2 linked regions of the Saccharomyces cerevisiae S288C genome follow. The protein of the gene in region 1 interacts with the protein of each later gene in a pairwise test. Each region holds a gene or a part of one and is shown in the gene's direction. Other genes may lie near its edges.

Evidence for each region.
Region 2: the proteins of TMN2 (region 1) and DFP3 interact in a protein complementation assay, tested with the Saccharomyces cerevisiae proteins (one large-scale study listed by BioGRID).

Annotation. Positions count from the first base shown.
Region 1 is NC_001136.10:665,185-672,628, reverse strand, and holds TMN2 (Tmn2p), read left to right. Parts: upstream 1-1,594; coding exon 1,595-3,613; downstream 3,614-7,444. Other genes in the region: TRS85 (Trs85p), read right to left, coding at 1-1,360; ARP10 (Arp10p), read right to left, coding at 4,771-5,625; TMS1 (Tms1p), read left to right, coding at 5,859-7,280. UniProt on the Saccharomyces cerevisiae protein: With EMP70 and TMN3, plays a critical role in the late stages of a nutrient-controlled pathway notably regulating FLO11 gene expression. Acts downstream of RAS2 and TOR. Essential for cell adhesion and filamentous growth.
Region 2 is NC_001135.5:123,200-129,582, reverse strand, and holds DFP3 (DUP240 family protein), read left to right. Parts: upstream 1-2,852; coding exon 2,853-3,572; downstream 3,573-6,383. Other genes in the region: serine/threonine protein kinase SAT4, read right to left, coding at 1-1,113.

The DNA of each region.
Region 1 (7,444 bases):
ATGATGCCAGGTACTTTGGAAATGCATCTAGGTCATCCATAAGCGATTCGTATGTGGAATAAGCAGTTTTGAAGTCGGATAGCATCATAGACCAATCTGCTAACTTTCTCATCAAAAACTCAGAAGATGACGATGCGAAGTATTCATTTCCCTGGCTGTCTCTCGTTAGAGAATTATGTTGGTGATTACCATTGACAGGATTTTTATTCATAAATTTTTTGAAAAACTTTGCACCATTAAATAGCGACTTTCTTGGCTGTAAAATTGTCTCTTCCCAGAATGACACTTTTCTTTTCATGAATGGTATCATTAAATCATAAACCAAATAATCAAGCATATCATAGATCGAGTTTATCAAAGCCAGAGAGAGTGTTGTTTGAGTTGGAGCTTGAAGGAAGAAGAGAATTTCTTCAAGCGATGACATTACTGGTTGGTGTAACTGTATGACTGAATTTTCGTCGTAAATAAAAGAATCCTTCCAGAGTGCTAGTAAGATACTCTCAACAAACAACTGCTTCTTTAGTTTCTTAGCTAACGCCTGGCATTTTTCGAATTCTTCTTGGGAATCGTCATTGTAGCAGAGTAAGAAAACTGGAAGCATTTCATTTGTATTCATGAAGATAGGAAAGTTTTCAGTATTATGATTAAGATTCTTGAAATTGACTAAAAGATCTCTTGCATCCTCATAAACTTCGCCATTTGATATATCTAAAGCAATCAAGGAAAGAATAGGGTGATTAAAAGTTTCATAGGGCGATAAGTTATTTGTGGATGAAATTGCTAGTGAAAAGAAACTATGATAAATGGATTTCTTAAGAAGATTATGAGGAACCATTTCATCAGTATTTGCTGCAACCAATTTCAAATAATTATCTAAGAATACCTCTAAAGAATGGTAATTGAATAACATATCATTTGCATCTCTTGTTTCGATCAAGTCACCTAATGGCCTTGTAAACCTGATATATTGAGATTGCGTTGAATCCCTCTGGAAAAGACTATTCGACCTACTGCGACTACCTTTCTTTGATAAATTGGGCACTTCCAAATTTTTATTTTTGGGAATTGAATCCGTCGAGTCACTTGCATCACAAACCTCATGCTCATGCTGTCCAACCTTCGCTTCATTGGCTTGATCTCTATCAGAGACACAACCGCCAAAGAATCGCAGCAGCATATAGAGAGAATCTACTTTGTACGTTTCTTGAATATGTTTGTCGAAGAGAGGAGTTGAAGTAACTGTTATTACAGGAGCTATAGCATTTGAAATTATTCTTTTTGCAATCTCTGGAGGCACCGTTTCTTTACTGTTATCCAAATGGAAAAGGAGATTCATATAGTGCTCATAAGAAAAAACCATTATAAGTTACCTCAGTATCTGTAAAGCCGACTGAATAAAGAGGTACCGTTTGTTTGGGTTACTTACTCATTTTCCTACCCATCCCATCCATTGGTTTTTCTGTTATTTTGCCTAATTTTGTCCGAGGAAATTATGACTTGTTTACAGTTGAGTAAAATATGTTGGGAACCCTAAATTTACATCATAAATTTTGACAATTATATTAGTACACATATTGATAATTAATAATCGGTAATGAAACGAGGTGTTTGGTTGCTGATTTATTGCTATGCAACTTTAACTAAAGGATTTTCCTTGCCAGGCCTATCTCCCACAACATATCACTCAGGCGATGAAATCCCGCTATTGGTGAACCGCTTGACTCCATCAATTTACTTTCAGCATCAAGATGAGGAAGGTAACGATGTTTCAGGCGATAAAGAACATTTTCTTTACTCCTATGATTACTATAATAAGAGGTTTCATTTTTGTAGACCAGAGCACGTTGAGAAACAGCCTGAGTCGTTAGGTTCAGTCATATTTGGTGACAGAATTTACAATTCCCCATTCCAATTGAACATGTTAGAGGAGAAAGAGTGTGTTGCACTTTGTAAAAGCACGATTCCGGGAAAAGATGCCAAATTTATCAACACCCTTATTAAAAGTGGATTTTTCCAAAACTGGCTCGTGGATGGATTGCCAGCAGCAAGAAAGGCTTATGATAGCAGAACAAAAACAAACTATTACGGCACAGGATTTGAGTTAGGTTTTACAGATGTTAAGCAAACCGTTGACGGTAAAGCAGTTCCCAGTACGATGGAAGAGCTTACTTCAGAGGCCTCAAATGAGGATGTTATATTGGATGCTCGACTGCCCAAGAATGTTAAGCCTAATTTAGTTAAAACGGTAGAATTACCTTACTTTGTAAATCATTTTGACATTGAAGTGGAATTTCACGATCGTGGAAACGATAATTACCGAGTTGTTGGTGTCATTGTAAACCCTGTATCTATCGAAAGATCGTCACCTGGCGCGTGTTCTACAACGGGAAAACCTCTGATACTAGACGAGGATAAGGATAACGAGGTTTACTTCACTTATTCTGTTAAATTTGTTGCCTCTGATACAGTGTGGGCTACGAGATGGGATAAGTATCTACATATTTATGACCCGCAGATACAATGGTTTTCATTAATAAATTTTTCCGTTATTGTTATTTTGTTGTCATCTGTTGTAATGCATTCTCTATTACGGGCTTTGAAAAGCGATCTCGCTCGTTATAACGAACTAAACTTGGATAATGAATTCCATGAAGATTCTGGCTGGAAATTGGGCCATGGTGACGTATTTAGAACCCCATCTAAGTCGATGCTGCTATCCATTCTTGTGGGATCCGGTATGCAGTTATTTTTGATGGTCATGTGTAGCATTTTTTTTGCCGCAGTAGGTCTTGTGTCGCCTGTTTCCAGAGGATCCCTGCCAACTGTAATGTTTGTTCTTTATGCATTATTTGGATTTGTAGGATCCTACGCCTCAATGGGTGTCTACAAATTTTTTCGTGGACCCTATTGGAAGGCGAATATGATATTAACGCCAATATTACTTCCTGGAGCAATTTTTTTACTGATTGTAATAATGAACTTCTTTTTGTTATTTGCACATTCTTCAGGTGTCATCCCAGCGAGAAGCCTATTCTTTATCATTCTTCTATGGTTTTTAGTTTCTGTTCCGTTGTCGTTTGCGGGTTCAATTGTTGCTCATAAGCAGTGTAATTGGGATGAGCATCCAACTAAAACAAACCAAATCGCCAGACAGATTCCATATCAACCCTGGTACTTGAGAACAGCACAAGCAACCTTAATCGCTGGAATTTTCAGTTTCGGATCAATAGCGGTTGAGCTGTACTTCATTTACTCCAGTTTATGGTTCAACAAAATTTTTTATATGTTTGGATTTTTACTCTTTTCATTCTTATTGTTGACCTTGACAACCTCATTAGTTACCATCTTGATCACATATTACTCGTTATGTCTAGAAAACTGGCTATGGCAATGGAGAAGTTTTATTATTGGTGGTTTAGGATGTTCAATCTATACGTTCATCCACTCCATACTATTTACTAAGTTCAAGCTTGGTGGAGTTATTACTGTCGTGCTCTATCTCGGATATTCACTTATTATATCTGCATTATGTTGTGTCGTCACTGGAGCGATTGGTTTTTTTAGTAGTATGTTTTTTATTAGGAAGATATACTCTGCCATTAAAGTTGAGTGATTTCGTTATTCTCTCCACTAAAGTAAAAGAAGTGAATACGTTAGTTTTATTTTTTTTTTTTTTTTTAATTTTTTGAGAAGTGTTTTACTTCGCAATGCATTTATATCCTATATGTCCTGGCAAACTTTTTGATAAATTGGAATGCAAGTTTTAACGCGTTTTTATGTAGCACTAATACACTGTATTGAAGATTTTTTTTTCTTTCACAATTTGGAAACGATTATATTGGATATATATTAGAAGTTTTCCTCGAGGATATAAGAAATCCGCAAAAGGGAATCAACAATTCTATATAACAACATTATTCTCTCTCCGTTTATATTTTATATTAAATTCATTATCTTATTAAATTATCAATTCTTGCACTTCAGCTTCCATTAAATCCGATAATTGTTATGAAGTCTTCTAACAACTCATTCGACATTAATAATAAAGAATATTATTCGATATATTTATTTATTTTTATTCCGGCAATAATAAATCTGAAAACGAGTTACTCTTTCAAATGACATGATAGTTATCAAATCCAAATTCTTTAGGAGAGTGTGTAATTAGGTGAAATATTAATGGTTAACTTTCTGTTGTATTACGGGCTCGAGTAATACCGGAGTGTCTTGACAATCCTAATATAAACAGTCTTAGGGAAGTAACCAGTTGTCAAAACAGTTTATCAGATTAATTCACGGAATGTTACTTATCTTATATATTATATAAAATATGAATCATACTAAGTGGTGGAAGCGCGGAATCTCGGATCTAAACTAATTGTTCAAGCATTTATACGTTTGGGTAGTTCAGCTAGGGAAGGCCGTGTTTTATCTCATGTTGTTCGTTTTGTTATAAGGTTGTTTCATATGTGTTTTATGAACGTTTAGGATGACGTATTGTCATACTGACATATCTCATTTTGAGATACAACACTTTCGATCCAAATTGGTCTCTTGGCCCAGTTGGTTAAGGCACCGTGCTAATAACGCGGGGATCAGCGGTTCGATCCCGCTAGAGACCATTTTTATTTTTTCTCCTCTATTGTTAAAAATAGCTCTTTACTATCATAAACTTTTACATCAAAAGCTCAATAAGGCTAATTGTTGTGGAAAGACGCAGTTTGGTGAAGAGAACACTTCCTGTTTTTGTTTTCTACATATACATAAAGCCTATTGTAAGCGCTTCACTCCAGTTCTGAAGTAATAATCAAACCAATCAGGAGCAATATGAGGATTGTTATAAAACTCATCTCTTTCTATTCCTACAATGTTGCTCCCCTTATAGTGCAGAAGTATTTTCGCGCATGCAGAACCAGCCTGCCAGTAATTTTTAGGAAACTGGATTTTGGACGTATCCATTTTTAACTTGAATAAATTCCTTATTACTGTTTCATACGCCTCTTCAATGTTTACTATAATGATATTTTCTCTCAGTGGCCTTCTCAAGTCGATAGGAAGTGACTCTACAATATTTTTGACAAGATTTATTACCGGGGTTTCATCTACTTCACAATTTTTAGAGTTGTATTCTTCGTCAAAAAATATTGGCATGTAGAGACTGCCCGGGAGAGGAATTCTTGACTCAACCTGTCTTTTGCCTCGTTTTGAGTATTTTATGAACTGTTGCAAAGGTCTAAGGTCGAAAATAGGTACGCATGTAGTATAATTGGTACCTATATCTATAACTATGGCATTCCTTGTATTACAGGATAAGCAGTGCACAATGGCCCTGGGGACAAACGAAACGTGAGCGCAGTCAAATTCCTTAAACAAGATGCTACAAATAATTCTTTTCTCTACTACAGAAATGAAGATATCTTCTAGTATCAACACTTGTACTTCTCGATTTCCCAAGATGTTGCAAATTTGGAAGTAATGTTCAAATATTTTTTTCAATTCTTCCCTATTTTTTTCATTAATACTACCTGTTTTCCAGGCGATAATTTCTTGTGGACACGCATCAGCACTTCTTCCAATTTCGATTCTGTTAGCTCCCAAATAGACTATCACAATAGTATTCGACATTTCCTCATAGGGTTTCCTGGGTAGATTTTTTTTATCATTTCACAGTGTCGAATATTGTAGTATTTGTACCTCTTTTGTTTATGTCTCTCGGCTACAATAGAAGTTCCGACAATTAGATTCTAACAAAAAAGAGAACTGTTTTTGAGGTCTTTATGCCCCCAAAACGAAGTTTATAATCAAACAACAGATTTACTTCATATCAAAATACCCATCACAAAGTACAACAATCTACCATGGGTGCCGTAATTTCTTTGCCAGTTAGCATGGCGGGCTCATTCGTGGCGTCCTGTTTTGGAGGTTGCTGCTCAAACTTGGTGACTAAGACTGCATCTTCCCTAGGATCTTCTTCTTTAGGGACAAGACTTCTGTACGCCGTTTGGCTTTTACTTAACTCATTGATATCATGGGTGTCCTATTCTGCGAACAAATCAATCCTATGGCCAGGGAAGACATGTACTGGGACTGGGGAATGTGGATTTTTTACAGTTCATAGGTTGAATTTTGCATTGGGATGCTTACATTTGATATTGGCGCTTGTACTAACGGGCGTAAAGTCGACTAATGACGTAAGAGCAGCATTACAGAATTCGTGGTGGAGTTTAAAATTTATACTGTATTTATGTCTCATTGTTTTGTCATTTGTCATCCCCAATGACTTTTATATTTTCTTTTCCAAGTGGGTGTCAGTCCCTAGTGGAGCAATTTTCATCCTGGTTGGGCTTATATTATTAGTAGACTTCGCTCATGAGTGGGCTGAAACGTGTATTAGTCACGTTGAGTCAGAAGATGAAGATTCCTCATTCTGGCAACGATTTTTGGTTTTAGGGACAACTTCAATGTATACCGCATCGATTATCATGACTGTTGTTATGTATGTTATGTTTTGTCATCAACAATGTAACATGAATCAAACAGCGGTAACAGTCAATTTAATATTAACTGTTATAACGCTTGTCTTATCGGTGAATCCTAAGATCCAAGAGGCCAACCCTAAAAGTGGGCTGGCCCAAAGTAGTATGGTTTCTGTTTACTGTACTTATTTGACAATGAGTGCCATGTCTTCCGAACCGGATGACAAAATGTGTAATCCGTTGGTTAGATCTAGTGGAACCCGTAAGTTTAGTATCATTTTGGGCTCTTTATTTACTTTTATTGCGATTGCTTACACCACAACTAGAGCCGCTGCTAATAGTGCTTTTCAAGGCACCAATACTAATGGTGCTATATATCTCGGGAATGATATCGAGTACGAAGGACTAGGTGGACAGACAAGAAATCAGTTGAGGTATGAAGCTATTAAACAAGCTGTAGAAGAAGGATCTTTACCGGAAAGTGCCTTATATGATACCGCTTGGTTAGGGACATCATCTCCTACAGGCGCAATGGATAACCAAAATGATGATGAAAGGACTGGAACCAAGTACAATTACACTCTGTTCCACGTTATATTCTTTCTGGCAACCCAGTGGATTGCAATTTTACTAACAATAAACGTTACCCAGGATGATGTAGGTGATTTTATACCCGTAGGAAGAACATATTTTTATTCTTGGGTAAAAATAGTTAGTGCATGGATATGTTATGCCCTTTACGGTTGGACAGTGGTAGCCCCAGCGATTATGCCCGATAGATTTGATTACGAGAATTACTATTAAATAGACTAACACAAAAAGATTTTCTTATAATGTATGTAACTTTTTTTTAAGTAGCCCCCAGTAGAAACACTAATTTTACTATACTCATGCACTAGTTTCAAGAAGATGAGTAAACCTCCCTCAAAAAAAAATGGATCTTAATTATCTAATTGAGATATCGCTTC
Region 2 (6,383 bases), on another chromosome or scaffold:
AGTCAACCTCTTAGAATACTTTTCTGCTGATTCGGATGTTCTACGCTTGAACTCTTTCACTGCATAAAGCTTTTCACTTTTATTACCATCTTGAGAAGAAACATTTTTCTTTTGACATATTCTTACTACACCAAAAGCACCTTTACCAAGGACTTCTTGACAGCGACCATACTTTTCGGCAAAACATTGCCTATCTTTTTTAGTAGTAGTGATATTATGCGTATTATTTTTGGAATCTTTTTGATCTGACCTGTATATATCCCTTTCAGGACAATTTAAAGCGCCACTTGTGGGAGCGCCTTCTGGATATTTATCATCCATATCCACGACCTGCTTCATGAAGCCTGCAAAAAGAGTAGGAGGATTCTTGTTGGATTTTAAAGTCGTCTTTGGATCCATTATTATATCAGGGACAGCAGATTTTGCCTCACCACGTAATTTGCTCGCACCAACCATGTTTTTAATCATTGTGCTTAGCTTTTCTTGTCTCTTAGCATTTTTTAAGTGATGTTCATGGGTACCATCTTTATGCACAAGAAACCTCCCACAAATAGGTGCACTTGTATTGGTTATCTTATTTACATTATTAATATTTGAAGCAGTGGGAGTAGGCGCGGGTGTAATAGCAGTATTGCTGTTACTATGATGAGAGAACTTTGGGCTCAAACTTTTGGAGCTAATATTTATGGCTGATGTGGGTGATAAGGATAAAGCTGATACTGACGAAGTTAAAGAAGCAGCTGATGATGACTTAGAGGTGTTAATATCAATATGGTTGTTTAATGATGCGGATGAACTAGAGTGCGATGGTGATGCCGACTGGTAATATTCGGGCATATACATGCCCGGTTTACTCACACCTGCAGTATTAGAAGGATTAGAAACTACCCTAGGAGTAGCAGTGGTTGGGGTATGTAAACCAAATTTGGCTGATTTAGACGCCGATGGAACGTTTGTGTTTATATTAGAAGGTGGCTGGATATTCGATGAGGCCTTTCCCTGCCTAGATGATCTTGAACCGCTTCTAAAAAGTTGCATAACTTTAGAAGATAGCGCATGTTTCCTTGGAGTTTGCTGAGGAATAGCGGCATTATTATCATTCATACCAGTCATATATTTGAGGGGTAATGTCGAAATAAAATAAAATCTGATTACTTTTTTTTTGATTACAGGGAATAGTAGTCACAATACTTACTACTAGTTAATATCTAGCGGTAAATGGAGAGTAAAAAAAGGTTGAGAGCCTAATATTAGAAAGCTACCTTAAGCTTTCCAGTTTTTATTTGTAACTTAAAAACGCTTAAAGGCTTAGTACAACTTATTGAACAGGACTTTGAAAGTCCAAATTTTATTCGATAATGTTAAAGTGAATAACAACAACCCAGCAATAACAACAACAACAACAACACAACAGGTTATAACGAAACCGACAGGAAATCGTCAAAAAAAAAAAATGATAAAAAATTCTTAAAATCGAAACTCCAAGTAAAGGTCTATATTAGGGTTTAATAAACTTTTGCTAAAAAAAATTGCCGAATATCTCTATAAAGTAGTATATTTTCTTCTCCGTTTCCTCTTCCCTCTTTAAAAGCTGTAATATTATATATACTATTTGTATAGCGGAAAATGCGTGAGATGGCAAGAGCTCGGCCTGTTAACATATTAGCACGGGGAGGCCGATGTTGATTTGATGAAATGACGTGCCAGGTGATTTTTCCATTCGCCATGCCGGGGGTTGAGAAAAAATTTTTTCTCCGTCGGAGATAAAAAAAAAAAAAGAAAAGAAAAATTAACGACCCCAGTGAGGGTTGAACTCACGATCTTGCGATTAACAGTCGCACGCCTTAACCAACTTGGCCATGGAGTCATTTTATCTTGTGTCACTTTTACAGAAAAAGTATTACTAATATATGTTGAAAATTTTCCAACTACCCTTCGAGTATGATTTTACAACTGCGTCAAAGAAACCATGCAAAACAGTTGACTAATATCGCAACTGTTTTTTTTTCTCATTGCCTTTGAAAGAATGGAACACTCCTCACCACGAGGTTCTAAAAACTATACCAACCACAGTTTGGACGTACATCTGAAGATGGCATCCAATAGCAGCGGTATTCATTTGTGCGGGCTGGATTGAAAAAAGCATCACAATTATTGGGGCGTTTATTGTAGTCTTTGAACCGAGATAATCCAGGTGTTAAATATTGGTTGGATATGCATGCAAAATTTTCAGCAAAAACGATGGAAGCAGAACAAACAGTGCTTATCTTTGCTTCTGCTCTTGTGTAAGTCTAAAGGACAATATCTTTGTTATTAAGCACTCTAGCTGCCCACTGTATAAACAGAACTTTTGACAAAAAGTCTAGCCAGCGATGATATAATTTGCCTGCACAAAGAGTTTACTATTAGTAGCACAACTAAGTCATCGAAACGCTTTTAGTGGACAGATCTAAAGTTACAAATATTTAGGTATGCGTAAAAGGGTAATTAACCTAGTATCAAATGAGTCGAAGCCCCGACCGCGCCCAGAAGAAAAGCCATTATCATTTAGGTGACGCCTTGTTCTAAGGCTTAGTTAATAATATTCCTTTCAACCAAACAATGACCTTCCAAGGTGTTCAGTAAGTGGCTCTCATTTTAAGTTAGTTGGGTATTATACGCCTTGTATCCGGGGCTATGCTTAGGTTAAATAAGAATACTGCTTGAATAGCTCAAGTTTACAAAATAATTTAAAAAGAGTTTATGAACTTCAATAAAACTTCGAACCTGAAAATGTAAGTCTGTGTTCTGTTTATATACACCAGTCGGTTGTCTATACCATATCAAGACAAGAAACAAAACTCCGTATCTGCATGCAGCCTCATTTAGACAACAACAGTAATAATGACGATGTCAAATTGGATACATTAGGGGAACAAAATGTGTTATCATCCGCAGAAAATATCACTTTACCTGAAGACACCTTTAAATCATATATGACCTACTTGCTGTACGAGATGGCTCATTACAAACCGATGATATTTTCCTTCTTGGCACTTTCAGTTTCAATTTTAATAGTTGTGATCTTTCATAATGTTAAAGCTTGTGATGTCGTTTTTGGTTTTTCAATTTTCGTCACTTCTATTTTGTTTTTGTCTACGTTGATTCCGTTTAATGTGTATATCTCGGATGAGGGTTTCAGAATTAAGCTTTTGCTGGAAGTTATCACCCACAGGCCAGCGGTAAAGGGAAAAGAATGGAGAGCAATCACAGACAATATGAATCAATATTTACTTGATAATGGTTTATGGAGTACTCGCTATTACTTTTATAGTAGTGAAAGATGCTACAAATTCTTCAGATTTCTTGTGAAAGAAAAACCCCCAGGTGTGAATGTAAATTCATCGGTAAAGGACGCCACAAGTACGCAGATAGATGCACCAGCAAATGAGGCTTCAAATGAGGTAATAAAATGCTTTAGTTTCAGTTCTGACCCAATATTCGAAGCATACTTTGTTAAAGCAGTAGAAGTTGAGAAACAAGCACAACAGGAATATTGGAGAAAGCAATATCCTGACGCCGATATACCATGAAATATAAATCTTGATAATTTTATTTAGCACTTATACTGAGCGATGTACCAAACCGATTCTAAATTCACAATTCATAATGGAACTTAATCGTTTATACAGTATAAACAAGTAGAAGTATTTTGACAGAGATTAATAAATTTGTGCCACACGAAGGGGCTTTCTCACAGCTAATAATATTGTACAAACTAAAGGATAGAATATGCTGTGGTGCAAGTTGGGTGCACATTAACGTATTGTCGTGCATTCCCTATCATTTTTAAGGGAAGGAAATTAATTCTAATGGCTAGTTACTTACTCTCAGGACTCCATAATTAACATGTAGCAACTGAAAAAAGAAATTTTGCTGTGAATGACTTGTGCTCAAGATAAGCTTCTTTTTCTGAAGGTTTGTTTCTTATTGCGAGCACTTTTTTCTGTATATAATGTAACAGTGAAGAGCAGCATCTATATGTTAAAGTGCTTCATGTATGGTTAAGCAGGCTTTGCGGCTAAAAAAAAAGGAATGCTTATTACCCTTTTTTCCATACTTTTGTAGCTACCTAGTTTCTTTCTCGAATGTTTCGCGATTGTTTCCACTGCAATTTCCGCATAAAACAAATATCAAAGAAAATATACGAGACAGAAAGATTTGGAGAACATGATTTGATGTCTTCAGCTTTCATTATATTCAACATTTTCACGCTTTGTTCTTGTTACTATTCAATATTCATGGCCAAATTCCCACAAACCTAGATAATTCTAACTATTTTAATAAACCCACACATAAATAGAGAAGCATTACGACTTGCATGCGCATAGTGTGTCACCAAAGGTTGAGAGAAACTGTTTGCTTACTTCTTGGAAACTGCATAAGTTATACTCGAGTCTTACAATTAGTCATTGAATACGACAAAACCACTTCCTCTGCCTTATTTGATTTCTGAAAGCTTAGTGTGCTACGAGAAAAATTTTACAAAGAAATTATTATGAAGCTAAACTACTTCTTTACCATCAAGAACCACTTTTTGTCCCCAGCAAAATTTTCTTAGGCTTTGAGAGGTCCATTGTGCTAACATTACTGTTTCACATAGTTCCCATGTATAAATTAGACCAAATAGCACTAACCTGTAGGTTGTGGAACTTCAAAACTACAAAAATCTTGATGTGTTGATTGTTCGGTCACTTAGAGGATATAATTGAATACTTGCACGATAAGAATCTTAAAACATATAGTGAACAAGAACAAGTGCCGAAATTTAAATCTTTGAACCATGTTGATGTGCCCTTTCTGCTTCATAACGGGAACAACTTCGCTTGCAGCATCCTTGCATTCTTGAAGACGTTCTTACGGTCTATGTAGCATTTTCTCTTAAACCCAAGACATAGCAAAAAACAAGTGTGTATAATTACTTTGGATAATATTTATGAAATCCATACTTATATTAGCCATTTCATGAGGACGGAATACTTCTCAACTAAAAAGCACAACTTGGCAATTATTACAATTTGCGTACCTAATAAACAAGATGCCCGATAATTCCTCACAATTTTATACTAGCTCGAATGTGTTGGAATAAAAATCCACTATCGTCTATCAACTAATAGTTATATTATCAATATATTATCATATACGGTGTTAAGATGATGACATAAGTTATGAGAAGCTGTCATCGAAGTTAGAGGAAGCTGAAGTGTAAGGATTGATAATGTAATAGGATAATGAAACATATAAAACGGAATGAGGAATAATCGTAATATTGGTATATAGAAATATAGATTCCATTATGGGGATTCCTAGACCCTCGAGGAGAACTTCTAGTATATTCTGTATACCTAATATTATAGCCTTTATCAACAATGGAATCCCAACAATTATCTCAACATTCACCCATTTCTCAGAATGAGATATACTTTGAGTAAAAGTGGTGGAGGATATTACTTATGTCCTTGGTAGCATGGGTCAAGATAGTTGTGTTAACTTGTTAATTATTTTTTACTATGCTTCTCAATTAAAGATGAAGTTTAACGAATGGTCTAGACTTATTCTCACAGTTTACCCGGAGGTCATCATTCTCTTTAATGACAATATTTACTCTGTCGTCACTTTCGTAATTGTTTCGTGTCTGTTTCGCAGTCCATTTGGAATGCGACAGTAAGTTAATTACAAGAAGTAGTAACAACAACTTAGCGATAATGTTTCTCATGTGTGACGCAGGGTTACTTTTGACTTAAAACGACCATTTTGCAGTTTTACTTCACGTTCGCAAACTTTCAATAACTGGCTGTTAATCTGGTCGTTAAGAAAAAGGTCAATGACGATGGCAGGGAAAATAGGGCTGTATCCCAGACTTCAGGCGCTGTTCTGCCGGGATTTTTCAAAGGAGGGCGTGTGGTCTAGAGGTATGATTCTCGCTTAGGGTGCGGGAGGTCCCGGGTTCGAGTCCCGGCTCGCCCCACATTGTTTTTACAATGTGTGGTGTCGCTACTGGCAGAAATGGTACGGCATTTATCTTTCCGACGTAAAACAAGTGTACTCAGGAGCAGTTTTTTTTTGCAATATGCTAAAACTCGTACAATAAACCAAGGCGCATGGCATGTTTGAACATTTACTCGTTATTTCGGAGGTTCCTCAGATGGCTGAATGGAGGTACAGATTATGATTTCTAGAAAACTGCAGCGGACTTTACAGAGTAAGCTGGAGAAGACCAATGTTAATGAAAACTTGAACTGCTGAAGTGTGATATTCAATGTATGAGATAATCCATTAAATCATCTACAGTTTAAAGACTGTAGGCTTACATGACCGTTTATCACTGCGATATTGGAGGAAGC